Canis lupus familiaris: one gene and its partners. The protein of the gene in region 6 interacts with the protein of the main gene of each other region in a pairwise test. Links are inferred from orthologs where the notes say so. Each region holds a gene or a part of one and is shown on either strand. Other genes may lie near its edges.

Region 1 (4,222 bases), on a different chromosome or scaffold from region 6:
AAACTTGACAGTATGCCCAGTAGAAGAGCAGGAGCTCTTCATTTAAAAAGCTAAGCTCAAATCCCAGGTCTAGCTCTTAGTAGCCATGTGACCTTGAGCATGTTATGGGGCCTCAATGTCCTCTGCTGTAAAGGAGGCATGAGAATAGTTTTGTTTAAAGAACTTTAAAAAAGAAGTAAGTAAATGAAAAATGTACCTACTTTGAGGATGTTATGGTTGTTTTGTTGTTGTGAGAATTAAAAGTTAGTGTATATAAAGCACTCTGTACAGGGGAAAACAGTAAATACCTTTAGTAAATCTTACTATTACATGTGATCTCCACAGACCCCAACAGAGTGGCTGGCATGTAGGCAGTGTCAGCATATATTTGTTGAGAGAGAAGTGCTGCATCTATTTAAATTTTGCCTCATATCTTATCCAGTGATGAAAGAAACTCCTTTGCAAAAATAAAGTCTAGGGAGTTTTTACTATATACCAAACAATGTGAAGTGCTCTCTACGTGCTAATTTAACCCTTTCAGCAATCTATCTTACAGAAAAGAAACTGAGGCACAGGAGGGTTAAGTAACTCGCCTATGGTCACACAGCCAAAATGTGCTAGAGCAGGGATTCAGCCCCTGGCATCAGCCTCTGGTATCCAGCCTAACAGTATATCAGCCCCCAATGGCAGATGGAATAAAACTAGAACAAACTAAGAAATAAATTTTAAGAATAAACAGATTTTTCAGCAAAAGAACTTTGAACGCCTTTTGTGTAAGTTACCTCTTCTAGCATAGAGTTATGTTTGGCAACACTTTTAAATTCATCCCATAATGATCTTTTAAACTTGTCTATTTCTTCATATAGGCTGGCCCACTCCTTTTCTTTCCATTCATCAAATTTTTTCTTAGTTTCTATTTCCTTCTGATGGCTGACCTCTGCTTCCTGGAAAGAAAAGCAAGAACAATAGAATCATTAATTCCACATTACCGCAAATATTTACTGAGAAACTGCTAGGGCCTCTTGTATGGGCAAGTCATTATGGAGACCCAAAGCACAATCATCTCAGAGCTCCCACTGTTTGGGCATGGAGTGGGACAAGTCTTATCCAAACTGTAAAGTCCCTTGAGGGTAGGGACCATGTCTTTTCTCTCTCTTTGTATTCTTGGCATAGTTGGTGCTCAATAAATGGGTGCTGAGGAAATGATTACATGAAGGAAGGGGTGAGACAAATTTACATATCTTCATTCTACAACTATCTACTAAGTACATCCTTGAGAGTGGACTTTGGAGTTTATCCAGTCTTTGTTCTTCAAAGCGCAAACTAGCAGGGTAGTGTAAGAAGTTAACATTCTGGTTTAAATGCCCTCACAGAGTGCTGAATAATGTAGGAAAATGCAATTCTCTGCTCTACTTGTGGCCAGACAGATCTGGAAAAATAACTGAATCTTCCTTCTCAGACAACCCAAGATCATTTGCCATATCCAGAAAGATGCTATCCTGGTGCTGGCTGACTCCCTGCTGCAGGCTAGTTTCCTGCTGCAGAAAACCAGCCTGACTTCTGGTCCTGTGGAATACAGGTGCCTCTTGGGTCTCCTGGGTAGTCCACGAGCGGGTCTCCCTGGCGCTTCCTCTCCATGCCCACCTGCAGCTGTCGGCGCTTCTCTGCCTCCCTCTGGGCTTCCAGCTCCTCTTGAGTCCATTTTAGCTTGGCCCGCAGCTCTTCCAACACGTCCTCCTCCAACAGCCGCTCTGGCTTCTGCTTCGCTGTGGGGTCCATGCAAAGACAGGATAACCAGTTTAAGTTAAAAAGTGAGTGAAACAAGGTTCCTCATCTATGCGATGTGTCACACCTCTGGCTGAGACCAGCCATGCCACTTCCATTGGACATTGACTACAGGCAAGTGACATAACATCCCTGACCTTTAGTTTCCCCACATCAGAAAATGGAGATAACAACAGCACCTAACTCAGAGGGTTGTCGCGAGGGTGAAAGGTGATAGTGCAAAATGCTTAGCACAGTGCCTGGCATGACAACTCAATAAATGTGAACTATTATTATCACTTAAAATAACTATTTTGATGGTACCAACACACACAAATGTAAATGCGAGATTGGTAGGTAACAGAAGCATAATACCAAATAGCACGTACACAGTGATTATTAATACAAAGAACACATCTATGTACCTGGCAGCCATCAGAGAGGAGTTTAAAGGAGTGAAAATAATTGTAGTTTTAAGTTCACTTTGTTCAGAAACACAGTATAGTATTAAATTTCAAATGGAAAAAAAAAAGCAGCATGCATTACGAAGAAAATTTTAGCCAAGGTTGCTTTAAAAGTATATTTTAACATTTCTAAGATTAAAAAAAAAAAGAATGAAGTATAAAAGAACATTCTAACTAAACCACATACTGATAAACCAAGAGTTACAGGTTAATTGAAAAGACGCCAATTGTACTTGAACATTTGTTACTTTTTAAAGTACCTGTAGTGCCTATTAGATAGATGGTACTGTTATTAAACCTCTAAACCTGTCTTTGAAAAAAAAGAAATGGTTTTCCTCAAACTGGATTTTTTGGAAACAGCAATTTTTAAATGCAGTAGAAATTAATTTGGGTTAACAAAGTGATTTGAGATGATATGAAATCGGACAGCAGAGGGATCTGAAAAGCCAGCTGCCTGAGAATAAAAAGGTCATTAATTTAGCAAAAATTGCCTTAAGAACATATTTTCCCTCTCCTTCAACACTTAACCTTAAGAAAATAATAAGAAATATGCACAAAGATTTACATGCAAGAATGTTGATCATTATGTGATTTATAATAGGGAAATTGACAAGTAACCCATATAAAGTATAAAGTAATTTAATTGTGAAATAAATTAGGATAGCCACAGGATGGGATACTATTCAGCCATTAAAAGCCATGTTTCCCAAGATGACTGGATGACAATAGAAATGTGATATATTCCTAACTGAAGATAAGCAACAGTCAAAACTGCATACTATATGATTATATACATACACAGAAAAATAAAACAGAGAAAAACATCAAAATATTAACTGTGATTTTGACCGTGGTTCTTACCTTTTCTACCTTTCTGTATTTAAATATTCCAGGTCAAAAGTATTTTTTTCCAATTTTTTTATTGTGGTAAAATACACATAACATAAAATTTAGCATCTTAACCATTTTTAAATGTATAGTTCGGTGGTATTAAATACATTAATAATTCATAATGTGCAATTGTCACCACCATCCTCTTCCATAACTCTTTTCTTCTTGTAAAACAAAAACTCTGTATGCTTTAAATAACTCCCCATGCACCCCCTCCCCTGGCCCTGACAACCATCATTCATCCTACTTTGTTTCTATGAATTTGACTTTTCTAGGTGCCGCATATTATGTGGAATTATACAGTATTTGTCTTCTTGTGACTGACTTACTTCACTTAGCATAATATCTTCAAAGTTCATTCATATTGTAACATATTACAGAATTTCCCTTCTTTTTAAGGCCAAATCATATTCCCTTGAATGTATATACCACAATTTGCTTATCTATTCATCTGTCTACAGACGTTCGGGTGCTTCCCAATCTTAGCTACTGTGAATAATGCTGTTATGAATATCAGTATACAAACACCTCTTCAAAGACATATCTTCTTAATCAGAAAAAAACATTTAAGAAGCAGAAAATGTTTTTGTTTAGCAGCCTCCAATACAGAACCAAGAAAAATCAGATATATAATAAATGCATAATAAGTAAGTAAACGGTCCTGTTTTAAAACTCTAAGTCTGCTCTTTGAAAAGGAAATTAAAATGAAAAAATAAGAAAAAAGTTTTATTTAATGGGATTTTTATATTTATAAGATTTATATTTTCATATCTATATTTATTTCACGTGTTAACACCTATTTCTTATGGAACCACAAAAATGGATATAAAGTTCGTAAATCTCTTTATGGGGAAATATACAGCCTCGCTACTTGTTTTGGAACTTGAAATAGTAAAATTAAAGTGATTAAGTCATAATTAGCTACACACAAAAAGTCAAAAGACTGGCCTAATTGCTCATTAACCCCATTTAAAAACACATTCATAGCTAGCATCAGAAAATAGCAGACTCATAGAAGGCTGGAAGGTAAGGACCCTTCAAAACCACTGCATCTGACGGTCCCATTCACAGCAAAGGCCACTGTGACTCAGAGGGGTGCACTGACAGTGGTCACATAATAAAAA
Region 2 (4,861 bases), on a different chromosome or scaffold from region 6:
AGGGCAGCCCCGGTGGTGCAGCGGTTTGGCGCCACCTGCAGCCTGGGGTGTGATCCTGGAGACCCGGGATCGAGTCCCACATCGGGCTTCCTGCATGGAGCCTGCTTCTCCCTCTGCCTGTGTCTCTGCCTCTCTCTCTGTGTCTATGAATAAATAAATAAAATATTTAATAAATAAATAAATAAACAGTTTTCAAGTGGGCAACCAAGTCTATCAAAAATAGCCCATCTGCTGAGCTATAAATTAAGTCTGGACTCCAGAGTATTGAAATCTTACATTGTTCCAATTTTAGTATAGGTGCTGCCGAAAGCGAGCGTGAGTATTGAAATCCGACAGAATGTGTTCTCTGTCCACAACGGACTAAGAACAAATCAATGACAATAAAATATCTCAAAAATCCCAAAAGATAACATACCATTAAAGAACCCATGGGCCAAAGAAGAATTCACAGGGGAAAACTGGGAAATATCAGACTGAACAATTCAAATGTGGGGGAAGCAGCTAAAGCTGTGCTCACAGGGAAATTAATAGCTCTACAATGACTCTCCGGTCATTTAGAAGTGCAGCGTCTAAAATGAATGACCCAAGGGTCTACCCTCCCAAACTAGAAAAATTAAGAATAAAGGAAACCCAGAGTACACAGAAGCAAGGAAATGGTGATGGTAGGAGTACAATGGAGCGAACTGGACACAGACAAATGAGCGAGCAAATCAATAAAGTGGAAAAACCGAGGTTGCTTGAGCGGATGAATAAAATTGAAAAAACACAAACTAGCGCTAGATCTTCTTTTTTTTATTACTTTTTTTTTGTTTCGTGCTGACTGTGCATGAACTGGCTCACATGGGTGCTGGGCTCACAGGGGCCACAGGGGGAGGCAGAGGAGGGTGCACAGAAGAACCGCCACAGGTCCTCTGTCCAGACAAGCACACATCTGCTCCTCGTTGCCGCCGCCACCGCCGGGCCCCCTGCTCACTGCTGGATCCTGCGGACGCTCTGCACCTGGAAGGTCTGGGCGTGAGAGCCCCACTCTCGGAAATGCTTGTAGTCGCCTGAGTGGTGATCACACTCCAGCACGTACTGAAAGCCTCGGTAGCCAGGGAACTGGGAGCAAACCCAGCTGGGGAACAGAAGAGGCAGACCGTTACCCTAAAGAGGCATCAGCGAGGGGACCAAATTGGGGGGTGGGGGGCAAAGGCTCCCATGCTGCATACACATTCCAGCCATCCCAGGCTTCCTTCACTGCCTGGAATGTGCTCTGCTCTCCCCACCACTGGGCCTTTGATCATGCTGTTCCCTCTGCCAAGAACACCATTCCAGCCATTCTTAGCCTGGCGCCTAGCCAAGTTATAATTATCAGTCAGGTTTCAGCTTGTTTTGAGGGCTGGTTCTCCAATTCAGGCCACTGTCCCTTTCTGGTCCTCTGTAGTTCTCATATAATTAGACAAGTATCAGATTACTTGTAAAATGTCCGTCTCCTCCACCAGCAGGTAAGCTCCTGGTGTAGGGCTGTGTGTGTCTGGTTCATTGGGATCTCTTGTGCATAGTGCAATGCCCGGCACAGAAGAGGGGCTAATAATAGTTAAAGAAGGAAGGGACGAGGGAAAGAAGGATGGGAGGGAGGAAGGATGGAAGGAGGGAGTGTGGAATTTTATTCCTTCCCCTCTTCCCTTAGCCAGAAGCCCTTCCAAGGCAAAGGCTATTGTTCTTTCCACTCATTGACCCCCTACATTGCTCAGGATTGGACAAGAATTGGTGTCTCACTTTCTGAGCTTCCATTACCCCTTCTATAAGGGGGAAGTGGATTCAGGAATCACAAGAGGCCCATCCTACTTTGGAACAACTAGATTTTCTGATGGTTAAAAAAAGGGAAACTGTTAAACAAACAAAAAAAACCCTGCCACCTTCACCTTCACCCCTACCAGGAGCCTAAGGGTACTCCAAGAAGGTGGTTGTAATGTCCTCCCTAAATGAAGACCTCACATCTTGGCCTTCACCTGCCAGCCCCTGGGGAAAGAGTGAGAAGGGTCAGTCATTCCAGGGTTTGAAGCTGGATTCAGTCACCTAGCAGCTGGTAGACTTGGAGCAGGATGTTTGAGCCACACCTATTTCTTAAGGGCTGGACATCCATTCTCCCCACTTCTGGGGAGAGACCCCCTGCCACCCCTCCAAGTCCTGGCAATGAGCATGTGACCAACCCTAGCCAATCAGACCACCCCCTTCTTGCTCATGACGATTGGTTCAGAGTTGAGTACATGACCCAAGTTGGGCCAATGAGAGCCTTTCCTGGAACCTTTGGTGGAATCAGTGAGAAAAAGACGCTCTCTTTCCCTGGGGCTGGCTGGGGTAAGAATGAAGCTGCCGTGTGGCCTTTGCTTGGGAAGAGCTTGCCTGAGAATTTAGCCACAATGAGGCAAGACAGAACCCTGCCGTAGCACCTGGATCCAGCTGTGCCTGAAGCTAATGACAAGGGTCAATCAGTATCCTTTGGGCATAATATCAGTTTGGTATGGAAGTCTGCCACTTGAGATCCCACATATTCTTACCTTATACCTTTCTGTGCCTCAGTGTCCTCCTCTGGAATGTGGGCACCAGCGCCCCAAAGTCCCCAGCACACAGTTTTCACGGAACATATCCCCCCCACACACACCTCACCCCCAACAGCCTCTCCTTCTCTTCCAGGCAGAGCCTCAGATTCACTTACGCCCCCGAGTGGACGTGGAAGGAGCCCACTTCATTGCCATCCCAGCCCATGGCCTGGAGGGAGGGGTAGTCGTCACTCAGCTCGCCTTTCTTGCCCAGAAAGTTCTCTTGCTCGAAGATGGTCAGCCTCGAGTCACGGTGGTTCTGTAGGAAGAAGAAACGGTCGGACCACCAGAAGCCCAGCCGAGAACCCAGGAGCCTCTGCTGACACCCCTGCCCCTGTCCCCACAAATCAGCCTTCCTTACAAAATCTTTTGGAAGGGTAATGAGGTTACAGAAACCTTACAAAAGGTATATACCATTTGCCCATCCAGAAATGTATACAAAGAAAATAACCATGGGGACCCCTGGGTGGCTCAGCCATGGAGCGTCTGTCTCTGGCTCAGGGCGGGTCCCAGAGTCCTGGTATCGAGTCCCGCATCGGGCTCCCTGCAGGGAGCCTGCTTCTCCCTCTGCCTGTATCCCTGCCTCTCTCTCTCTCTCTCTCTCTCTCATGATAAATAAATAAAATCTTAAAAAAAAAAAAAAACAATTGGTATAGATTGAATCTGTTGATAACAAACAAGACCAAAGGAAGTCTCCGGCACTGTTAAGACTGGGCTTCTGTCTCAGACATGTGAGTATGACTTCTTCCTCTAACATATCAGGTTTCTTTCTGAACTTTGGATGATAAATATATGTGCCTTGTGTGATTTGTAAAGTAATGAAAGTTGTGAGCAGCCCAGGTGGCTCAGCGGTTTAGTGCCGCCTTCAGTCCAGGGCCTGATCCCGGATTGAGTCCCACATCGGGCTCCCTGCATGGAGCCTGCTTCTCCCTCTGCCTGTGTCTCTGCCTCTCTCTCTGTGTGTCTCTATGAATGAATAAATAAAATGTCTAAAAAATAAAAAAATAAAAAATAAAATAATGAAAGTTGCTTTTGAAGAAAAAAAACTCACATCTTTTCAAGCCTCAGCTCTTCTATCTGTTAGATGGAGATAATAATGCCCACCTCCACCCATACTCCATAGACAGTAGCTGGAGTATAAAATCAGGAACACTGATAATGAATCAGGGAGAAGAAATAGAACCTTCCTCCCCACCTTGTCTTGCCACCCCTGGCACCCAGCTTCTCCAGGATCCCCATGTCATGAAAAGAAGGACGTGAAACACACAGGGGCTCATATCATAACCGAAGCCATGAAGGTCACAATGTATGCGGTGATCTCGTCCAGAGCCTTCCCCATGACATGGCCCCATTTCAAGATGAAGAGACCAAGGCTCAGAGAGGGGACGTCACATGGCTTGAAGAAGTGACATGAGGATTTGAACTCTGGGACGATCGGTTCCCAAATCCCACTGGAGCGGCTCAGGCCTTCCTGGGACAAGGTGGTGGCAAGGACTCACAGCACAAGCCACCGGTCGGAAGGAGGTGAGCCTGTCGGCGGGGTAGGCTGTGTTTCCACTCCAGGCGTCCCAGGACGGGTACTCGCCCCGCTCCAGCACGTACTGCTGCCCTTGGAAGCCAGCATGCTCAAAGCCTACCCACCTGCGGACAGGGGGTAGAGAGTGCAAGGGGTAAGAGACCCACGTTCCGAGTCCCAGATCAATGGTTATCACTTAGGAGTTACCACTGAGGAGACATTTAACCAATGTCTAGGGGCATTTTTAGTTGTCACACTGGGAGGAGGGAGGAGAGGTTGTTTGCAACTGGCACTTAGCAAGTAGAGGCTACAGATGCTGCTGAACATCCTGAAAGCGCAGGACAGGCCCCCATCACAGAATCATCCAGCATCAAACCCACCATGCCGAGCTGGAGAAACCCAGCCCAGACCGTGTGTAGTTCACCGCCTTGCTGTAGGCCCCGTGGGTAGGGGAACTGCTTCGGGCAGGTGCCTGGCCATCTTGCACGAGGTCCTCTAGGTCACACAGACAAGGCTTGATGGCAGGCTGACCTAAGCCTCAGCGGGATTCCTCGTGATCCTCCAGGAATGTGGGAGGACAGGCAATCTGGTGAGGAGCAGCCACAGGACCCTCTCACCTACCTCCCTTCCTTGAGGGAGGCTGCCATGAGACAGTAACTCATCCCCTCCCTGATTCCCTGGAGATATGGGACCTCCCCCACCCCACACCCTGGGGGAGGGCGTCCAGCAGGAGCCACAGCTGAAGCACGGAGAGCTCCTC
Region 3 (4,655 bases), on a different chromosome or scaffold from region 6:
TCTGGAAAGCTCATCACTGGTCTTTCTCCTCCTGTGGTAGTGGGAGGTGCCAGTCCGCAGGAGGGCTCTGCCTCAGGGTCCACACCAGGGCGTGCTTCCGTGTCGCCTGGACTCTGGCACGCTCACTCTCACAGAGGGACCGCTGTGCAAAGGAGACTCCAGTCACCTTGGGCTCCCATGGTCCTGTACCTCCCTCCTCCTTAGCACCCCCCACCCCCCAACAAGTCAAAGTGTATGGCACATACACTAATACATCTAATAAACCTTGGCGATTATGCTGTATTAAAATGCACAAATTGGGATCCCTGGGTGGCGCAGCGGTTTAGTGCCTGCCTTTGGCCCACGGCGCGATCCTGGAGACCCGGGATCGCATCCCACGTTGGGCTCCCGGTGCATGGAGCCTGCTTCTCCCTCTGCCTGTGTCTCTGCCCCCGCCCCCCCCCCCCCGGCCCCGTGTAACTATCATAAATAAATAAAAATTTAAAAAAATTATAAAATGCACAAATCTAGATCATTCTTTCTCTCAAGCTCCTGTGAAAAACTGTGTAGATCATCATAATTTGGGTAAATTTTAAAATTTCTTCTGGGCCTCAGGACTTGATGCCTTCAGTCGACCTAATCAGATTTACCTGCTGAGATCAGCATGGTGCTGAGCTAAGAAGAGAGAAGAGTCTGAAAGAGTGGCCACAGTGGGGAGGATGAGGCAAGAGACACGTGCGCAGGGAGCCCCAGACAGATGAGGAGGAATCCAGAGGAGAAAGAAAATAGGTGCCACTCAACTAGCTGGCTTTTTTTCTGCCATTCTCCTCCCAGAAGGAACACGGGACAGCACCTTATGAAAGGTGCACTTGGTAGGTGCCAGGCACTATGCTGGCCTTTTTATATATATAATTTCACCTCCTCTATCTAATTATCTGTCTTTCCTCAAGCTGTATTGTCTTAAACAGTGTTTTTGTTCTTATTTAAAAAGCAATCAAATGCAAAGAATATGAAAAATTTCCAAGACCTCTGTCCCTGTGGTGAAATTAAGTTTCCCCAACCCAACTGAGACATAAATGTTAGGGCTACATGTTTTCCTGAAGATGGAATCACTTACTGGCTAGTGTACATCCTCCATTTTTTACTAAGCAACATACATACAGGTACCTTTCCCTGCCCAGATAGATTATTATCTATTTTTTTTTAATGGCTATGTCATATCCCACTGGGTCGACGAAGTTATTTGGTTACATGTCTATTAGTGGCATCTAGGGTGCTTTCCGTTTTTGCACTATCACAAACAGTGAGGCAACAGATATTGTGAATTTTTTAACTGTGCACTATTACCCAGTTACTTCCCTAGGATGGGCTTTCGGAAGTAAAACCAGGCAGTCAAAAGGTATCCTTTTGACAGATAATCAGAACACGTAACACTCCACCAATACTGCATAAGTACCCCTGACTCTCCAGACCTTTATCAGCACTCTGACACTTCACTGGGCAGAAGCCATTTGTCAGTTGACCTTGTATACCAGGCCATTTGATTTTCTTTTTGAATGAATTCCTTTCTCATGACCTTTTCCCACTTTTCTATTCTGAAATCATCCCCATTTTCTTACCGATGTATGAGAGCTCTCTCTCTCTCAAAAAAATAATAATAATCTCTTGCTACACAAGTCCTTTCCCAATTTTTTGATTTCCACTTATAATGGACCTGTCATCATTTTCTTTTATATGGTAGCTTGGTTTCCACATGAGTTTGTTTCAATAATCACATACATTTAACCAGCCTCCAGTCCTGCTGGGGCCCGTTTTCCCTTCCCCATAAGCACTGCACCCTCAAGCTTCTCTTCATGTCTCCCCTACCCACAATAGTTCCAAGGCACCACTGCCTATTCTAGACTGGAACGAAGGTGCCAGAAGGGCAGGGCTCTGTTCTCATTCCTGTATTTGTAAGACCACCCAACATGATAAATACTTGCTGAATGCTGAATGAATGGAAAACCAGACCCACCTCCTCACTGTCTCTTTGCCCCTCGGTAATACACTCTCCCACCCTGGCAGTCAGACTGATCTCTATCTGTCTTTCTATCTATATATTTTTTTAAGACTGGGAAGGGGGATAGGGAGGAGCAGAAGGAGGGAGGGAAAGACAGAGAGAGAGAGACAAGAGAATCCCAAGCAGGCTCCTCACAGCTGGATCCCACAACTTGGAGATGACAACCTGAGCCTTAAATCAAGAGTCAGTCCCCAGATGAATCACCCAGGCACTCCTCCACCCCTGTTTTAAGCAGGCTTCATACCCAGCCTGGCACCCAATAAGAGGCTTGAACTCATGAGCCAGAGATCAAGACCTGAGCTGATACCAAGAGTCAGATGCTTAACTGACTCAGGCACCCAGAACCCTCACACTAATCTTTTAAAGATATAAACCAAGTCATGCTTCTCAGCATACGTTTAGGCTGAATCTAAACACTTCATAAAGGCCCACCAGCTCCCTGGTACCTCTCCAGCCTCAACCCCTACCAGTCTACAGCCGACCCTCCTGCTCCAAGCACCCGGCTCTTTCTGCTCCTTAGATGTGTCCCGCCCTGGGTTGGTGAAGGCTGTTGAGGCTGGGACCAGCTGGCCATGTCCCAAAGGCCTCAGAAATACCACCTCCTGCGCAGGGCTGCCGACACTAACACTGTTAGGGGATCCCTCTTCTTTCTCCCCCAAACCACTCTACATTCTCCTCCTTTCTTCACTGTAAAGCCCTGTTGATAAACTGATTTTTGATATTTCTCAAAAGGAAGGAAGCACAAGCGGAGGAGGACCCAGGCCGACTCCTCTCCAGGGGCCGGGGGCCTGACGGTGGGGAGGGCGCGGTCGGTGCCCCAGCGCCCCCCGGGCTCCCCCGCACCTGGGCCTCGGCGCTGCGGCGCTCCTCCCACTCCCGGCAGCTGGCCAGGTCCCGCCGCCACTGCTCGCAGGCGGGCCGCTCGCCGTGGACGTAGTAGTGGTGCAGGAGGTGTCCGGCGCTGCGGCAGAGCGTCCACTCGGCGCGGTAGGCCTCGCAGGGGCGCGGCGGCTGCGGCGACAGGGAGCTTGAGCCAGGGGCCCCGCACCGCCCCCGGGGACCCAGCCCCGCGCCCTCCTCGGGAGAGGCCTCGGGTCACGGGCTCTCCGCACGCCCCGCGGCCCCGGACTTACCCGCCAACCGCCTGCGTCCGCCATGGCCCGCGCCTGCGGCACCCCGCCCCCAGCTCGCGGGCCGGGACTGGGGCAGCGCACCCTCGACTCCGCGCCTACCTCCTTGACGTCCGGCCGAGCAGCCAATAGCAGCCGGGGGCGGTGACACGCGGAGGCGGGGCCTGCGGGAGCCCGGGAGCGGGGCCCGGGCGGGCGGGGGCGTGTGCGGAGGTCCCGAGGTCCCAACGCCTGGCGTGCAGTCCGCCCGGTGCCTGGCGGGCTTCCTGGGCGGCACAGCCACGAAGTGAGCTCTTTCTGAAACCACGGAGTCCAGGCTTATTTTCAGGTTTACTAAATCTGCACAGATAGGGTTCATTTCCGTGAGCACACAATGAGCATCAACTCCACATGGCGAAGCTGCCGAGGCTGCGGCGCTGGCGGGGTGGAGGGTGGCCAGGCAGGACCAGTGGGAGTTGAGGCTCTAGGGCGCCGGATGATCTCCCGATGGAAGCCGGGCCTGTCAAAAGTGGAGGCCGGTGTGACCTGGGGTAGAGGACAGGGCAGTGCCAGCGTAGGGTGCCTCGCACGTCGGATTAGGAGTGAAGTTTTACTCCGAGGTATGGAAGACACCGAACATTTATAAACAGGACAGATGCACAAGAGGCAATAAAAGCAGAGGCTGGTGATCTGCAGAGTAGCCCTGCAATATCCATGCAGTGGTTCTCCGACTTCCACGAACTTAATTCCCTGTGGGGAGCCCCTTACAACTGCTGCTCGCCTGCCCCGGGACCGAGGCTGGGTTAGACGCCCTCGAGGTGGGGCAGAGGCTGCCGCTTTACCAGCGGTCCGGCCAAGCTGGCCACAGACCAAGCTTGGAGACGGGGAAGCCTGCAGACCAGGGTGCAGCACGGATAACCCAGAAGTTTGCTCTGGATGGCCCCTCCCCTCTGCTACCAGAAGCCCAACAGGGACTGCCCCTGGCCTAGGGAAGGAAGAGTGGCTCAAGCAAAGGATCAGGGGTGGTTTCATTGCATACACGTAGGTGTTGCTTAGGGAGGAAGACAAAAACCCAAGACCAGTCCGTGCCTTTCTGTAATATTCATTATGCATCAAATGACACATTAGCCAATGTGATCCTGCAAAAGGAGGTTGCCTACCCACCAAGGAGGGATTCTACCTCAGCTACTGAAAGAGACTCCTTAATGGAGGATCAGGGAAGTCATAGCAGTGCTTCATGCCTCTTGACACCCTGTCCATCATTAGTGACCTTTTGGGCCATAGCCTGGCCTAATCTGCGTGACCATCATATACTCTTGGACGTACGGGTAGACCCCGGACCACCATCCTGAAGGAAGCATCGTCTTGACTGTTGGAAGTTCCGTTAAGAGATGGACCCCTCTATCTCTAAGCAGGAGTCCTCCTCCAAGAGGAGACCCTGTTCAGGCTGACCATCCCCAATGCAGGGGTCAGAGCCTCATCTCTCCATATATTCTCCAAAAGCCCCC
Region 4 (3,636 bases), on a different chromosome or scaffold from region 6:
CCCCAGCCCCCCACCCTGTTTCCTAGCTTCCTAATCTGTAAAACAATCCTAGTACCTTCCTAGCAGGGTCAGTGAAGGGAAGAAAAGTAAGGACCTGCCTAAATCACCTGGCACGCAGGCATCTAACCAATGGAAGCAATGATTCTTACCTAAGAGACCTGTAACCCCAGATTGCAAACAGGACACTCCCTCAGCCTTTCACTTAGTTTGGGAAGACTGGAGGAGTTCCTTGGGAATAAAGGTTATTTATGGATACAGGCTGAGAAGAGCTCTTTCTCCTGAAATCCTGTTAACCTGGATTATGAGACAGTGAAAATTGCCCCGGAAAGTTGAGATGGGGCCCCGGGGTTGCAGCTCATGGCCAGCTCCCTAACAGCAGAGGCCTTGCATTAGGCACTCAGTCTCCTAAAGGCCATTTCTTCATTTGAAAATCAAGGCAAGCCCCAAAATATCTTTGCTTCCTATCTTAAAGGTTTATGTAAGGAAGCTGTCTCGGAGCAGGAAAGCCCTCCACCATCAAGGGACTTCATGGTAGGCAGCTCCCTGCCTTCCAGCTGGAAGGCCTCACTCCTTTCATCTTTGCTCCTGCTGTCACTTCCCTGGCACATAATTAGCAGTTTGTGGGGTGCTATTTGGGTTTTCTTTGTGTTTGGCGTTGTTTTGTTAATTCTCTGTGAAGCTAAGTGATTTGAGGTGATTTAAAATTCTGAAGTTGACGGTGCTCTGGCAATGGTGTTGTCCGAGCATGAAGAATAAGGACGTGTAAGTAATGGTGAAAACACACTGAAACTACCAGAGCTCCTGCTTAGGACTTCCTTACACCAACACAGCACCCACTTCCATGAATGAGGAAAAAAGTGAGGAGAGGCAACAAGGGAAAACGATACATTTATTAAAACGCATGAAAATGCATAAACTCATTTATAAATAAATGTAGGATTTGCCCAGTGAAAAAATAGCTAAAATCCATGAGTAAACTGGATTTTACATATGAAATGATTACATATTTGATCTCCAATAATTTCCCCTCCATCATGATCTCTTAGTAGCAGCAATTTTGCAATGACTTATAGAAAAAGCCGTTACCAGTGAGTATCAAGGGGGGGTGGGGGGAGTTTTTCAAGGATTTTCTTTAAAAATGAACCAGTGCAAACAAATTCAGGTTATAAGGAATACAGTAAGACCTAGGGCTTATCTTCAGAAAAGTAGAAAATAAAAATCCCAAACATTCATTCATTAAGAAATGAAAAAGCAAACTACATTTTGATCATTAAAAAATAATACATATGGATGTTATAAAACATTCTTAACTAGTAATTATAATAATTACACTTAGAAACGCTCATTCAAGTACTAGTGTTCAATAAACATTCAGATTCCCATTAAAAGTAACACTAGATAGAGACTTGTGTGGACAATACTACTTCTGATTTAATAGCAACAAAAAAAATCACATCAACAGAAGGCAAGTGACCATTAAAATACTGTATTTTTTTTTTTGTCTGTAAATGATTTTTCACAGTCTGTGCACATCACCTGCGGGAACCCAAGGACCATGTCGCGACAGCTAATGAAGTCCTTTCTGTAAAATGATTCTTGATATTACAGAAACAAACATGCGAAAGCACAGGGTCAGCTCTAAACACAACAGGGCAGAACCAGTTTTCTTTGGCAAGAAATCGTCAGCTCCTGGCGGAGCAGTCGTGGCCTGTTGCGTGGCCGCGCTCAGGGCCTGGGGTGCGGGGGGGCGCCTGGAGCACCCGGTCACCCGGGTCACCGCCGGGCCGGCTGCTAGCAGGTCTTCCTTCCAGAAGCTCCCTCCTTATCCTGGCCTGAGTCTCCGGTTTTAACAAGAGTTCCTTTATCTGCTTCACCTTGGACTTCAGACCCATCCTTTCTCGCCGCAGAGCTTCACGAATTAAGTCCTGGAGTCCAATGGGCCTCTTGCCTGCGGGGAGAAAAAATTATATGACACATTTTACATTCAAATGCCAGTGAAAAGCATTACATAGGGCACACCGACTTACCAAAGGAGGTTAAAAGAAACCTTTATGTTGTTGCCCACGTTTTATAGAAAAGGTGGTTGCATTTTGCCAAAAAATATATCATTTGCACGAAACGAATTTGCTGTAAATAAAAGTCCCCGCGTGGCAACAGCAGACGGAGGACAGACGTGAGACACTGTGGACCAACAGGGTGGAGGACGATCCCGACGGGCAGGGTCTTCGGTTTAGCACTTGCAGCTGCCAGCCAGGCAGCAGGGATGGCAGGGCTCCCTCCAGCCCAGGCCCTTGGTGGCCTTCCGTCTGTGTCCAGGAGGCACAGCCCAGAGCCGCCCGCCTGGGCTGTGCGGAGGGCAGGTGGGACCTGGGCCCCTCTTCTCCCACAGTGCACCTGCTGCCCGTGGCGCCGTTTGTCCCCCGTGGTGCTTCAGAAACGCAAGCACATTGGCCACGGACGTAGGAGGCCGTCTCCACAGACTGGACGAGAGCCGGCGGTGCAGGCGGTGCGGGCGGTCGGTGGGCCCGCGGGCCCGTGGGCCCGGCAGAGGGGAGCAGGTGCCTCCCGGGGCGGGGGCCTGCCCGGGCCTCACCTCCCGCTCTGGTCGCCGTCAGCACCACCCCGGTCAGCCGCTCGGGCCTTCCCGGAGCTCCCATCCGCGGGCTTGCCTCTGCTCTGCGTCTCCTCCAGGTACTGCTGCACGGCCTTGAGCACTGCGTTCTCCACCAGCCTCTTGCTGAGCCTTAGCAGCTCAGCATCGTCGGGCTCCCCTCCGTTCTTAGCACCTACATTCCGCGACAGAGAAGAGAGGTCACAGAGGTCATACTGCCACCGGGACTCGCACGCACGGCCGGCTAGCTCACTTAGCTAAAAAGTGCAAGTGTCCTTCAATCTGGCAAATTGGACCTTTACATCCGAGAACACAGGTTTGGCTTTTCATTCGGTATTTGCAGAAACAGGAAATTGCCTATTCCTGGAGATTTCAGATTGAAAAGTAGTTCAGTAACCCCAGTCTAAGAATACTCCACCTCCTCATGCTAGAAGCTTCCCATTTCTAGAATTTTTGTTCTTCTTTCATCCATGGCTGTTTGCTACTATGAAAGTCCATGTGCCCACACCGGGAGCCTCTGGCACGTGGACTGCACCTACTACATCTGCATCTGCTTTTCCTTCGCCACTGCCAAATGTCAGGTGATTAGGATTTCCCAATCAACTCGTTTTTCCCAATCAACCTGCTGGCCCACAGGTTAGTTGCTAATAAACTTGCAGAACTTCCGTGAAGACGATTACTACTGCTACGAACTGGTTTAACCTTGTAAAACTAATATTCTTTTTTTTAAATCTCAGTGCTATCACTGCAATTGAAGAAATAAAAAACTCTTCAAGAGTTAGGATGATGACAGTAAATTACCAGATGTTAATACTTCATAGCCATTTTATTTCCCAGCTAGTGATGATCAAGGTTTGACTATTCCATCTTTCATTTTACTGTAAAAGGTCTGGTTCTCATCTATTCCTATGCTAGACATTTCCCACTCACTCTCTTCCTTGTCTCCATTAACTGGGGAAAAAACATACGGGACTCGTGGCTCATGCCCATTCAGTCCCTCATCTCCTTCCACCAAGCTGCTAACC
Region 5 (4,168 bases), on a different chromosome or scaffold from region 6:
TCTGTACCAATCAATGATGTAAAGAGTTCTTTGTACACGATGTTGAATTTTTTTTTTACAATGTTGAATTTTTACTCAGAGGATTGTCAATCTGTTTTTAAATTGGGGGAGGGAATTAGAAAGATTATCCCTCCTCCACCCTGGCTGGCAGTTAGTGCAGGGATCAGCTAAGCCAATGACAGTGATGAATTTGGGATTAGAAATGGCTCAGTAGGAGGGTCTGATCTATCTCACGGCTTTCCCATTGTCCAGTATAAACCGAACCCAATCTGTACAGGCAATGCCACATAGGGTAGTAATAAATAACGTAACTAAGTGAATTTGAATCTCAGAAGATAAACTTTCCCATTACAAACGACTTTAGTCTTGTTCCAAATCACCTTACTGCAAATGATAACTCTGCATGGATATCACACATAATCTCTCACACAATCAGAATAACTACATTTTAAATGCTATCTTCCTATATGATAATCATATGCTCACAGTTGCAGGCAATGTATATACAACTTGGTATTTATCTTTTAAAAATCAAAAGGAGGCCAGGATGTCGTTATAACTTGGCAATTTTCTTCCTACTCATTTTATTTATTTATTTATTTATTTATTTATTTACCTATTCATTTTATATAATGAGTGCTCGGTAAATATCTGTTGGGTGACTTTTCATATATTTGCAAACAAGAAAGTAGCCTTTATACAAGTCTATCTTTATTTGTAAAAAATAATATACAACTAAAGCTAATTTGATTTTTAAAATCAAAGTTCATTTAGTGATAATGTACATTTTATAATAAAATTGTAGTAAAATACTGACATTTGATAGTTTAAACAAAGTATCATTCATGTAAAAATCATGTTGTCGCATGTAAAATTTAATTAGAAAATTCATAGTTCACAAAAGTACATATATTTTGTTGATAGCTCATGAGAACATTATCTTAAATTTACTCAAGATACAGAACAAAATTCACAGTTAGGCTTGACATTTAGTACTATAAAATTTTATGCTTAATCCTCTGTTAATAAGGTACACTTGAAATAACTGATTCAGGCTACCAACGAACTGACATTTTACTGCATAACCAAGATCTATTGGTTTTACAATATGTCTAGCAATCAATTATTTCACCAATAATTTAAATGAGAAATCTAGTTTTAAACACCATTGACATATACCCTTAGCAGGATAATTAAAATAAAAAGCACTAGCAGCTTTGATTTACATTTTCATGAAGACATATAAGACAAATCTGTACTTTATAGTTAAAATTTGTACAAAAAGTCAAGCCCTGAAGTATTTTTCCAAGAGAAAAGTTCTGATGTTAAAACTCTGTTTAAAAAAAGAGAGAGAAAGAGAGAGAGGTAGTGTGTGAAAGGATTTTTACTTAAAAGGTTGAACCCCTGCACCGCTCATAATATAAATGAAATTTAACCTACATGTTAACATTTTGCCATTCAAGAGTCAAATTTCTAGAACTCACAGGTTATGGCTGGAATGCCGTCAAAAAATAGTGGTATACAAGTGGAAGAGTTTGGTGAATTCAACAAAAAAAAGTACATTGCGTTACATAGTGTTGTGCAGTTAATAGTTTAGTGATAATCTGTTTAGTGGTAACATGAGCAAAATACATGGAGTATTCGGAGTCAAGTGACCTTCCTTCAGTCCAAGACTTCTTCATGTATCTTTACCATAGAGAGAAAATATCCTTCAAAACGGAGTCGCTTAATTCTTCATTGTTTCCATAGCACGCAACTGTTACAAAGGTACCCATTCTAGCCCTACCATAAAATTAATTAATAAATAACTCTGAGAGAAATAGCCATAAGCCCCAGGGAACTTATGGACCTCACACTATTCTTGGTTTCTATATACAGGCATACTGCAGTGCTTGTGCACGTTGTACAATGGAATCAGGTGAGGAATGGAAGTTAGCAGCCTTACCCTTCACTTGTTCTAAGTGGATGCGTTGGAAAGTAATAAATAGCCTCATAAAATTAATAGCAATAAACTCTACCTGCCTGAGGTGAATACTCTATATTTTTTTCCATAAAGTGTAGACAGTGTTCCTAGAAATCCCATGAAGGAAAAACCAAATATCTCATATAAAAAAAGTGCACAAGTTTGTCCTGTGTGTAAAAATCTCTTAAGTTGGGTGCATTTTTTTAAATCCAAAATGATTCATACTACTTGAATATATTAAAAGTGTATGAAAGCACACCAACAAAACACGCATAAACAACAAAAGGAATGATTTCTAATGATAGGAATGAGGATGAGATTAAGGAGTCTCATGTGCTACCACCGTTGAATGGAACTGCCTTTTACCATGTTAAGTTACATGCATATGGAATGAGCATGTAAATATGAAACTTGCAGGATGAATATGATTTGAACTTGAACAACTGTTACAGTTTCTTAATTCAGGAACATGGCTTCAATGTTTTATAACATAGGAGGTAACTCCCAAAAATAGGCAATTGGTTTGATTTCTTAGATACTAGAAGAAAAAAACATTTGAAAAAATTACTTGTAACAATTAGCAACAAAGGAACAGACATTAGAAAATCAACATAAAATACAGGGAACATAGAAGCTGAGGTCCCCAAGATACCAAAGGACAGAATCAGATTTCTTCACATTAGAATTTAAAAAAATATACTTAAAGAAAAAGCTAACCGGGCTCTGCACAGCAGGTTAAATATGCAACCACTTCAAATGGAAATGATCTGGTCCTCTCCTAGTTCTGAAAATGTGCTCTAACATCCAGTTCTCTATAGACAAAATAGCAAAAAGCATATAATTTCATTAGCAAAGGCCCCTTTCTGACTTAAACTCACCTCTGACAAACTGAAGTTTATATTAACAATTATCAAACTACTATTTTAATAACATTTTAAGCTTGCAATATTATTTTTCTCATGCCTACTCCAGGTCACTGGTTCAGAGGTATATATGCTTTAAACTAGCCAAATTTACAAGTCCCTATGGTGTCCTCACTCCGAAGACATTCAGACAAAGGTTTCATAGTGTTATAATTGTTCCATCTTCTTCTAAGAGTTTTTGATCCGGAGCACGTGTTTCTGTGTTTGTGCCACTTGCTATGGGGGCTAAGCTCACTTCATTGGAAGGAATAAAACCATTCTGTCCAGACTCAAAACTGAGTTCTATTTGTGTTAATGATTCGAAGCTCTCGGTATTAGGAACAGCTTTAGGAATCTGCTGGGGCACTCCGTTATCTTCAATAATAATGTCATCTTCATCACTGTCTTCATCCTCTGGCTCAAAGCTTGGTTCTACCTGCTGGGGATAGCCCAGGAGACTGTTATCCGTGGACTGGCCAGAGCTGCCGGAAGTCCGACTGTTCCGAACAACATTATTCCTCTGGTTTGCTGGTCTCACTGTTATGATGAGGTTGCGGCTGTTTGCGATCATCATGTCTGTTACTTGATCAAGACTCTTCCCTGAAACTTCTATGCCGTTAACTTCTAAAACTTCATCATTAACAGCTAATAGTCCTGTGCTTTGGGCCAGGCCTCCTGGGACAAGTCTGGATATAAAGATCCCTGGGACCTTCTCTAAGCCATGCGGTGTGACCCTGACACTGGAGCCATCCCGGATGTAGAATCCTAAAGGTTTCTCAGTGCCGTATTTGTAAAGACGAACCCTACGATGTGTTTCTGGGAGAATATCCACGTCTATGATAGAAGACACAGGTCTGAAGTCTTGGGGCATACTAATGACTATATGTGGCTTTTTTCTGTGGTTGTCAGGACGTAATACATTGGTCAAAACATTTTTCTTCTTTATTAGTGTGTCTGTACCAAAGGCACTGTAGTCTGCTTCTTCTGTTTAAAAATAAAATAAAATAAAATTACAGAAATGCTGTAAAAACACCCATTTAACCACAGTTGAATCTATATAGAAGGGATAACTCACATGTGTTGGTACATAAACAATTTAAATATTAGCTTGTTTTTAATCATCAAAATATAGTGCAGTAGTTAGATTTGCTGAACTAACACACAACCACTAGGGGGCCCTCTCAAGCACACGTCATAAAATCCCAAATGCTGAATTTGATAAACCTCAAGGATGATTAAATAAAATTGAGGGGAAAATGAAATTCTGATAAGCCTTACGAACGCATTCTGAAACATCATTTCA
Region 6 (4,222 bases):
TATAATCTAGTTTCCATATAATGGTCAGTGATCTTTTTTTCTCCCAAGACAAATTTTTTTTTAAAGATCTTATTCATTTATTTCAGACAGAGTGAGAAACATCACAGAGGGAGAGGGAGAAGCAGACCCCTTGCCCAGGAGAGAGCCTGACGTGGGGCTCAATCACGGGACACTTAGACCATGAGCCGAGCCAAAGGCAGATGCTTAAACAACTGAGGCACCCCAAGATAAAATTTTTTTAATAATAAATTGTATTGTCATTCTCTTGCTTAAAACCAGTTAAGTGGTAATTTTCCAAAAAGAAATTACTTTCTAGGATCAATAGATAAATATACTACTATGAAAACAAATACACAAAGAAGAGAAATTCAGAATCATTTACCTGTGTGTTCACTACTTCCTGAGATAATGTCTGATTGAGTGGTGGGTACATCTCAAGTTTTATATTTAAAATACCAACAGAAACTTTTGATTCTGTGCCTATAAATATAAACAAATATTTAGAACTTCAGAGGTTTCCAGACTATGTATATTTAGTCAACCAAAGTCTAACCAAAATAATCTAAGAATTTTGGCTTTACCACTTACGTGAAATACAGATAATATTCAACATCTTTAATATTCATATTAAAAACAATTCAAATCAGTTTTTATTTTGCATAAAGACCTTGATCTAGTTGTAAGATTATCTATTTTTTGAGCTTGCTTATTACATTTTAAAGGGCTATTTGGATCTAAAGGATTTGGTATTCTTAATTTTTATCTTCATTAAACGTATACCAACCAGATTTACATTAAAAACAAAGTAAAGCAACTGTTAACATCTGGTTCTCAGGAAATATTTATACTTTGTCACATATAATAATTCCTTCCCATTTTTCGCATCACATCCATACCTGGATTTAAACAATTTGAAAACAAATACACTTTTTACAAGAACTATCTACTATTCCTCTGGTGAATCAGAATATACTTGTTTCTTGGTCACTACTATGATAATCATGTTAGGCCTATATTTGAAGACAAATAATGTGTATCTTTTGGAAATACATATATCCCACAAAAAACTTGTGCCCTTACTTTCTATTTAAGGAAAACCACATTCTGGGTATGACTTATCAAAATCTAAAGTACTAAAGCTATACCGTCCACCAACCAGGTTTGACTCTGTGACTTAGTTTCAATACCAAAGTAATTCCCTTATATGTTATGCATAAAATACTGGTAGGTTTTATTCTATTAGAAAATACATATCACACATCAGATAGTTCCCAAGAGTCCAAGGAAACAATGGTGAATAAAATAGGCACCATCTCTCTCCTCAAGGAGTATTATTCATAGATCCTGTCAATGAACAAGTCAGCACCTCTTTGAGTCCCATATTCCCACATGTAAAATGTTGGAAAAGTATCACCTCCATATTCTGTAAGAACCACTGCTGCAGGAAGGCACTGATACTAATGGGGGATGCACTGTACACTGGAGTGTGCTGGAGTAGAGTTTTTACATATGCATCTGTGTGAAGAATCCTACTGTTCTTTATAGCCTTATATGCAATCAAATAAATTTGAAGAAAAAAAATAAGCCCCTGAAAAAAAAATTTTTCCTTACAAGATCAGTTTGACTGTATAGTTCTATACCCTTTTTTTTTTAAGACTTTATTTATTTATTCGTGAGAGACACACACACACAGATTGAGAGAGAGAGAGGAGGCAGAGACACAGACAGAGGGAGAAGCAGGCTCCATGCAGGGAGCCCGACACGGGACTCGATCCCAGGTCTCCAGGATCAGGCCCTAGGCCGAAGGCAGTGCTAAACCACTTAGCCACCCAGGCTGCCCTAGTTCTTTACTAACATGCTTCACGGCATTTCCCAAGACCCCAATACTAGAGTCCAAATGTAATTTTGATGAAATTCTTTTTTTAAGTATTTTATTAAGTATTTATCTATTTGAGAGAGAGGACGCACACAAGCACAAGAGGAAAGGGGGGAGGGGAAGAGAGAGAGAGAGAGAGAGAGAATCTGTTTTTTTTTTTTTTTTCTATTTTTTTTGAGAGAAAGAAATCTTAAGCAGACTCCTCCACACTGAGCCCAGAGCCTGATGCAGAGCTTGGATCTCATGACCCTAAGACCATGACCCTAAGATCACGAACTGAGCCAAAATCAAGAGTGGAAATCTAGAGTCGGATACTTAAGTGACTGCACCATGCAGGCACTCCCTAATGAAAGTTTTTTTACATGTTTCCTGTTTGGTTTACAAAGGCATTCAGAAAACATAAAATGCATTTATAAACAAGCTATGGCTATAAAAAGGTAACAGTGATGAATCATCATACCTACACCCATAAGCTCCACAGTAAGACTGGTCACTCCATTTTCTGAGCCCAAAACTGATCGCCATTCGAGAAAATAGGATGCTACTAAAGTAGTCTCACCAAATATGTCTGTTTTGATTAGCACCATATGAACTGGATCACTTATTGATAACATTGTTGTTGAATCAGCCATTCTAGTTCCATCACCTGGCAACATAAACCAAATGCATCACATTACATATTCCATTAGACCAACATAGAAGAATACGTTTATTGCAAAGGATACTAATATACTTACATAAAACCAAATAAAATAATTTGGTAATGCCTCAGAAACCATGCAACAGATTACTTAATTTAAAAAGTACAATCCTGGGGCGCCTGGGGAGCTCTGTCAGCTAAGCGTCTGCCTTTGGCTCAGGTCATGATCTAAGGGTCCTGAGATGGATCCCCAGGTCACACCCCCTGCTCAGCAGGGAGTCTGCTTCTCCCTCTCCCCAACACTCTCTGCTTGTGCTCACTTGTGCTCTCTCAAATAAAATCTTTAAAAAAAAAAAATAAACAGCCTTATTAGGGTAACCTTTTTCACCAAGGGCAAAAAAATCTTTTCATACTGTATTAGCCATCTTAGCAATCTAAATTTCTAAAGGTGTAATTTTTTAGCTTTGCTAAGCAAACACATTATTAAGATTTCTATATTGAAATAACATAAAATACAGTTACAGAAATAATATAAGAATTATAGGAATCAGGTATATAATTTTAAAAAACTAGTTACAGACTCCCATCTTACCTTTATTTCTCAAAGTTACATAACATGATAAACCTAGCTATCCTTCATAAATGAGAAGAATTATGTCTTGTTCTTCACTAGATCCTCAGCACTTGCCTAGTACAGTATAACGCATCTAGCAGGCATTCATTGATTGGTTGATTGACTGATTTTGGGGAGGGGGGCGGAGAGGGAGAGGGAGAAAGAAATCTCAAGTAGACTCTGTGCTGAGCGCAGAGCCCGATGCAGGGCTCAAACCCACAACACTAAGATCATGCATGACCTGAGCCAAAATAAGGAGTCAGATACTTAACCGACTACAGCACCCAGGCAACCCCCTAACAGATATTTAAATGTTTACTACTTAAGAAGCAACCATTAAAACAGTAAAAATAAAAAATCTTAAGGAAAAATTATTTAGCAGAAAATAAAGCAAAAAGGTAGAAGTAATTTATGTAAAAAAGAGCAGTGGAGAAAATAAAAGCAAAGTAGGAAGATTCAATCATCATAAAACTCTCCTTCTAGCAAAAGTTATGTTACCATAAAACCTAACAAATATTTACTCAATTAAATGACAAGTTATTATTGCTCCTTACCTAAGCTTTCTCTGTGTACTTCAAGTAAAAAGCCATCATGAAAATCTGGTTCACAGGCACATGGAACAGGTTTAGAACGAAAACGTTGGTTTCGAAAATGTAAACATAGAGTAAAGGTTGAACAAACTTGTCCAGGTAAAGGCTCAGGTTCTTGTAGATGTTCCAAGAAAGCTTTTCCACCCAAAACCTGAAGGTAAAGATACCTCCGTGTTGGATCAATATTAGCTGTAAAGTGTAGCAATATATATGAGGAAACTGCCAAACAACTTAAGGAATGTGATCAAGACAATAGGAAATAATAACTTGACAGAAATAAAACCAAAGACTAAATTAAAAAAGTAACAAATTTACTGTATACCAGGACCATTTGAAACCAAGAAAGAAAACATACACAATAAGATATATTTTTATCGGAGTTTTTATATTCTGGGTACTTTCTCCCAGCTAGAAAAGAGTCAGAGCCAAGGCTTAAGAAACCTTTGCTCTTCAGGTGCTTATCTAATAACACGCCTTCACCGCCAAAGCCAAACCAAACAAAT
Region 7 (4,222 bases), on a different chromosome or scaffold from region 6:
CTCTGCCTCTCTCTCTGTGTCTCTCATGAATAAATAAATAAAATATTTTTTTAAAAAGTGGCATTTCCCAGGCACTCCCACTAGTCATCCCATTTAGTCCCTCTAACAACCTCACAAAGTGGTTGGAATTATCTCCAATTTATGGATGCTGATCCCAGGGCTTTTCCAGGTGAACCTGCCCAGGCTCACATGAGGTAACTCATGGCAAAACCAGACTTAACCTCACTGCCTGCCCAAAGCAGTCCTTCCGACCTTCTTACAGGGAATATGAGGTGAAGGAGATGGGAGGGACTGAGATCCAGGGAGGACCCTCAAAGGCCCTGGGGATGGTGGAGCTCAGAGCGTTTCCTCCTAGGCTGCACTTGTTTCAAGGCCCAACTCCTGAGTCTTGAAGAACTTACTGTAGTCATATTTCCTTCTCTTGCAAGCTCATGCATTGCTAGAATTTGGCAGGCATCGATATTACCGTCGTCTTTTTCTAGGATTCTGAAAAAGGAAGAGGAGCCACATGAATTTTGAGTATGCATAGACCAGGCTAGCATGGCACTGCAGCCACTTCTGATTGTCTCCTAATATCCTGTCTCCCTTTCTCCTTTTAATAATGGAACTCCTGGGCAGCCCCGGTGGCACAGCAGTTTAGTGCCGCCTGCAGCCCAGGGTGTGATCCTGGAGACCTGGGATCGAGTTCCATGTCAGGCTTCCTGCATGGAGCCTGCTTCTTCCTCTGCCTATGTCTCTGCCTCTCTCTCTCTCTCTCTGAATAAATAAATAAATAAATCTTAAAAAAAAAATAATGGAACTCCTGATCTGGCTGGGCACACAGCTACCCAGCATAAAGACCACATCTCCCAGCCTTCCCCTGCAGCTCAAGTGTGGCCCTGTGGTTAAGTTCTGGCCAACAGGATGTGACTGCAAGTGCCCCAGTGACATCCAGCTGTTTCCTTACAGCACATCTCTTCTTTCTTCTCTTACTTCTTTCTGCTGGCTGAAACATGGACCATGTAATCAAAGTCCTAGGAATATAGAACAGTAAGACAGAAGGGTCCTGGGATCCTAACAGAGTTAAGCTGCTATGCCAGTCCTGGACAACCTCCCAGACTCTTATCTGATAGAGGAATAACCTTTCATGTTATTTAAGTCCATGCATCTGGGGCAATCTGTGACAGAAGCCTATTCATATGCCAACTAACATAGACTTGATCATGGCCCTGTGGTCCCAGGGTGGTGGAGAGGTCCTTGATGGGTCATCTGCAGCTATAAGATGGAAAGGGAACCTTGCTTTCCAACATGTGTCATTGTGAAGACACAGTTTCCGGTCATACATACTTTGGGGTTTTCAATATTCTGTTTCTTTATGGGAAACTTCCTATTTTTCAGCCTAGTTAGGGATGGCCCTGCACTTCATAGAGGGTTACTCTAATTAAGACACAAAATCCCAATATGATTAGTTAGGCAGTCAACATTCAAACAGTTCTAATCCTTTATGCTGATTCTGTAGGTACAGGGAAACAAATACATTTGGAAATTTAAAAAAAAATTTTTTTTTGAAATAACCTATGGACTAAAGAAGAATCAGAATGGATATTAGAAAATTCTTAGAACCAAATGATACTGAAAATATCACATCCAAATGTGTAGATACTGCTAAAATAGTACCTTGAGGGACATGCACAAATCTAAACACATATATTCTAAAAGAAAATTGAGAATGGATGAGCCAAGCATCCCACTCAAGAGTTAGAAAACAAGAGCAGGATAGCCCCACAGGAAGGAGTTGGCAGGAAATCACAAAGAGCAGACATTAACACAGTAGCAAACAGATACTATAGAGACCATCAACAAAACTCAGAGTGGGGTTTTTAAAAAGACTAGTCAATGAAACAAATTACTTTGATGTTGATGAAGGAAATTTAAAGGGAGAAATAAATAATATTAGGGATGGAACAAGAAACACACCTAGAGGGGCACAGATTTAAAAAACAATAGGGGCAAGGTGCCTGGCTGGCTCAGTTGGTAGGGCCTCTGACTCCTGATCTCAAGTTTTTTAAAAATAAAAAACAATGGAGGAAGTTCTGTGAATGCCACTAGCTGCAAAAAACTCCATAAGGGCAGGCATCGGTTGTGGGACTCAGCCCGTTGGCACTAAACACTGTTCCCTGCAGGCAGGGCAGCAGGGCCTTGGGCGAGGGAGGCCACGCACACCACGGTTGTGGCCGTCAGCCAGGTGCTCCCAGGATCCCGCTGGCCGAAGGCCAAGCCTCCAAAGCAAGCTCTTCACCCAGTTCCTGCCAAGGACACTGGCCAGGTGTCAACTCTGAGACAGAGAAGCGAGGCCTGCACAGGCACCGCATGTGGGGGGCCCCAGTGCACTGAGCAGATCCCAATTACATTCATTTGCTCCTGGGTGCCTCTCTCGGGGACTCAAATTCCAGTGATGATCATCAGAGGAATTGCCATCCCTCCACAGGGAAGAGGTCTGCTTGTGTTTTGTTTTGTTTTTGAACTGTGCTGTATAGTACCACAACTTAGTCATGATTCGTAGTGATGACTCGTGGTCACTCAGAAAAAAAGTAGTCTGTTAACTCTTTTTAGGGAGAAAGTTAGTAGCACACATTTTAGAATTACTTAATAAAACTAGTGAAAGCATTAGTTTAAGGAGATAAGCTTCAGTTATCTAGAAAATTCCATCCTCAAAAAACCTTCCATCTGACATCCCTCCCCCCAAGTGGTCTTTATTTCTAGAGACAGTGACAATGCTCCAAGGTCACCCACACTTGGTATCTGGCTTCCACAGCCCCAGGAGCTCCCCGGCTCTTGCTGTCTGGCTAGAAGTCTTCTCAGTCACCGATGACCTTTTTCCCTGAAGTTTTTATTACGGTGTATCATACCCATAATTTAAAAAAATTAAATAATGCAATAGTTCCTTTATGCCCCTCTAACCCCGCTCTTTAGAGGCAACTGCTTGTCAGCCTGTAATCCTGGTTGCTTTGGGTTCCTTGGGTCGCTCCTCTGTCTCTTTCTCCTAAATAACATGCTTATAGCTCTAGATATGCCTATTTCTTTGTCTATCAGGGGCCATGTCCTCCTGGCCTCCTCCCCATATGATCGCATCACTCTCTGTACCTCCTCTGTTGCCAATATTTACTTTTATGTCTTGTTGCATCAAACACACGCTGTCTCCCATGTCCCCATCTTGTAAGATGGGAACATGTTAGCACGCTTGGCTCGCAAAGAAAGGGAAGAAGCAGCGGTGTGGTGTAGTGGTGCCGGTGGACACCTGCCTCTCACCTGTGTCCCATTTCTACTGTCTGCTCCCAGTCCTGCCGTGCCAAGAACAGCTGCATCTTCAGGATCAGGGCAGGCAGGAAGCTCCCTGAGGTGACGGTGATCTGGTTCACCACCTCCAGGGCCCCTGAGTAGTTCTGCTGCATCATTAAGTATGTTGCCTGTTGAAAGCCCAACAGAAGAGCCTCCATCAGTGCCCACAGAGGGAGGTCCAGGGGTGTCAGGGTCTTGACCAGAACAGGAGCAGAGCCTGACATATGTGTGCTGCGGGAATCCCTCGAAGCCCCTGGGGAAGGAGTCACCATCACTCAGAGTGACAAATCAAAGTCCACACCAGTCCTGGCTTCTTGGACAGGTGAGGCCAGGGCTCCAGGGAGATTGGGGCACCCTGGCAGGTGTGGCATACAGCAAGACCACGTGCGGGCCACCCCTAGAGGGAGACCTCAGGCTGCTGGGCACCTTCCACTTCTACTTTTCCTTTTCCATTCACTGTCTTGAACCTTATCAATGAAAATTGCTCCCTGGGGCCCTGGGTCAGTTAGGGCTTGCAGGGAACACTCTGGATTGGGGGGCTGAAGTGGCACTTTTTCTCCATCGAGGATCATGGGGCTGGAGTTCTGGCCTCTGCCGGTCAGTGCCAACCACCAGGTCCGAGTGCGTGAGTGAGTGATTCAGTGAGTCATGGCCCAGGTGCTTGAGGGGCAAAGAGCAATGCTCCTAAAGGACTTGAAACATGACTCTGAAAACCAGAGCGTATGTTAGACCTTTGGCAACCTGCCCTCAAGAGACTTAATAAAAACAAGAGGAAGAGGCACCTGGGTGGCTCAGTGGTTGAGCATCTGCCTTTGGCTCAGGTCGTGATCCCAGGGTCCTGGGATCAAGTCCCACATCGGGATCCCTGTAGGGAGCCTGCTTCTCCCTCTACCTATGTCTCTGC

The links.
Region 1: the proteins of CEP76 (region 6) and DZIP1L interact in binary tests that used the Homo sapiens proteins (3 or more experiments, as listed by UniProt). The link is inferred for Canis lupus familiaris from reciprocal best matches to the Homo sapiens genes CEP76 and DZIP1L.
Region 2: the proteins of CEP76 (region 6) and CRYBA4 interact in binary tests that used the Homo sapiens proteins (3 or more experiments, as listed by UniProt). The two-hybrid records come from large-scale screens. The link is inferred for Canis lupus familiaris from reciprocal best matches to the Homo sapiens genes CEP76 and CRYBA4.
Region 3: the proteins of CEP76 (region 6) and C26H22orf39 interact in binary tests that used the Homo sapiens proteins (3 or more experiments, as listed by UniProt). The two-hybrid records come from large-scale screens. The link is inferred for Canis lupus familiaris from reciprocal best matches to the Homo sapiens genes CEP76 and C22orf39.
Region 4: the proteins of CEP76 (region 6) and AKAP7 interact in a two-hybrid assay, tested with the Homo sapiens proteins (3 studies listed by BioGRID). The two-hybrid records come from large-scale screens. The link is inferred for Canis lupus familiaris from reciprocal best matches to the Homo sapiens genes CEP76 and AKAP7.
Region 5: the proteins of CEP76 (region 6) and PARD6B interact in binary tests that used the Homo sapiens proteins (3 or more experiments, as listed by UniProt). The two-hybrid records come from large-scale screens. The link is inferred for Canis lupus familiaris from reciprocal best matches to the Homo sapiens genes CEP76 and PARD6B.
Region 7: the proteins of CEP76 (region 6) and TTC21A interact in a two-hybrid assay, tested with the Homo sapiens proteins (2 studies listed by BioGRID). The two-hybrid records come from large-scale screens. The link is inferred for Canis lupus familiaris from reciprocal best matches to the Homo sapiens genes CEP76 and TTC21A.

Annotation. Positions count from the first base shown.
Region 1 is NC_049244.1:34,855,676-34,859,897, forward strand, and holds part of DZIP1L (zinc finger protein DZIP1L), read right to left. Parts: intron 1,746-4,222; coding exon 1,624-1,745; intron 924-1,623; coding exon 762-923; intron 1-761. UniProt on the Homo sapiens protein: Involved in primary cilium formation. Probably acts as a transition zone protein required for localization of PKD1/PC1 and PKD2/PC2 to the ciliary membrane.
Region 2 is NC_049247.1:20,681,991-20,686,851, reverse strand, and holds the end of CRYBA4 (beta-crystallin A4), read right to left. Parts: intron 4,227-4,861; coding exon 4,085-4,226; intron 2,845-4,084; coding exon 2,702-2,844; intron 1,118-2,701; coding exon 970-1,117; 3' UTR 772-969; downstream 1-771. UniProt on the Homo sapiens protein: Crystallins are the dominant structural components of the vertebrate eye lens.
Region 3 is NC_049247.1:29,925,943-29,930,597, reverse strand, and holds the start of C26H22orf39 (UPF0545 protein C22orf39 homolog), read right to left. Parts: upstream 3,246-4,655; 5' UTR 3,196-3,245; coding exon 3,172-3,195; intron 3,050-3,171; coding exon 2,882-3,049; intron 143-2,881; coding exon 14-142; 3' UTR 1-13. UniProt on the Homo sapiens protein: Negatively regulates long-term potentiation and modulates adult synaptic plasticity. Stabilizes the interaction of RTN4 isoform A/Nogo-A with its receptors, inhibiting clustering of postsynaptic AMPA receptors at synaptic sites.
Region 4 is NC_049222.1:70,056,753-70,060,388, reverse strand, and holds the end of AKAP7 (A-kinase anchoring protein 7), read right to left. Parts: intron 2,787-3,636; coding exon 2,670-2,786; coding exon of another isoform or gene 2,594-2,669; intron 1,949-2,593; coding exon 1,683-1,948; 3' UTR 870-1,682; downstream 1-869. UniProt on the Homo sapiens protein: Probably targets cAMP-dependent protein kinase (PKA) to the cellular membrane or cytoskeletal structures.
Region 5 is NC_049245.1:37,743,393-37,747,560, reverse strand, and holds the end of PARD6B (partitioning defective 6 homolog beta), read right to left. Parts: intron 3,850-4,168; coding exon 3,026-3,849; 3' UTR 690-3,025; downstream 1-689. UniProt on the Homo sapiens protein: Adapter protein involved in asymmetrical cell division and cell polarization processes. Probably involved in formation of epithelial tight junctions.
Region 6 is NC_049228.1:78,176,741-78,180,962, forward strand, and holds part of CEP76 (centrosomal protein of 76 kDa), read right to left. Parts: intron 3,909-4,222; coding exon 3,684-3,908; intron 2,523-3,683; coding exon 2,337-2,522; intron 481-2,336; coding exon 383-480; intron 1-382. UniProt on the Homo sapiens protein: Centrosomal protein involved in regulation of centriole duplication. Required to limit centriole duplication to once per cell cycle by preventing centriole reduplication.
Region 7 is NC_049244.1:9,020,380-9,024,601, reverse strand, and holds part of TTC21A (tetratricopeptide repeat protein 21A), read right to left. Parts: intron 3,447-4,222; coding exon 3,289-3,446; intron 487-3,288; coding exon 402-486; intron 1-401. UniProt on the Homo sapiens protein: Intraflagellar transport (IFT)-associated protein required for spermatogenesis. Required for sperm flagellar formation and intraflagellar transport.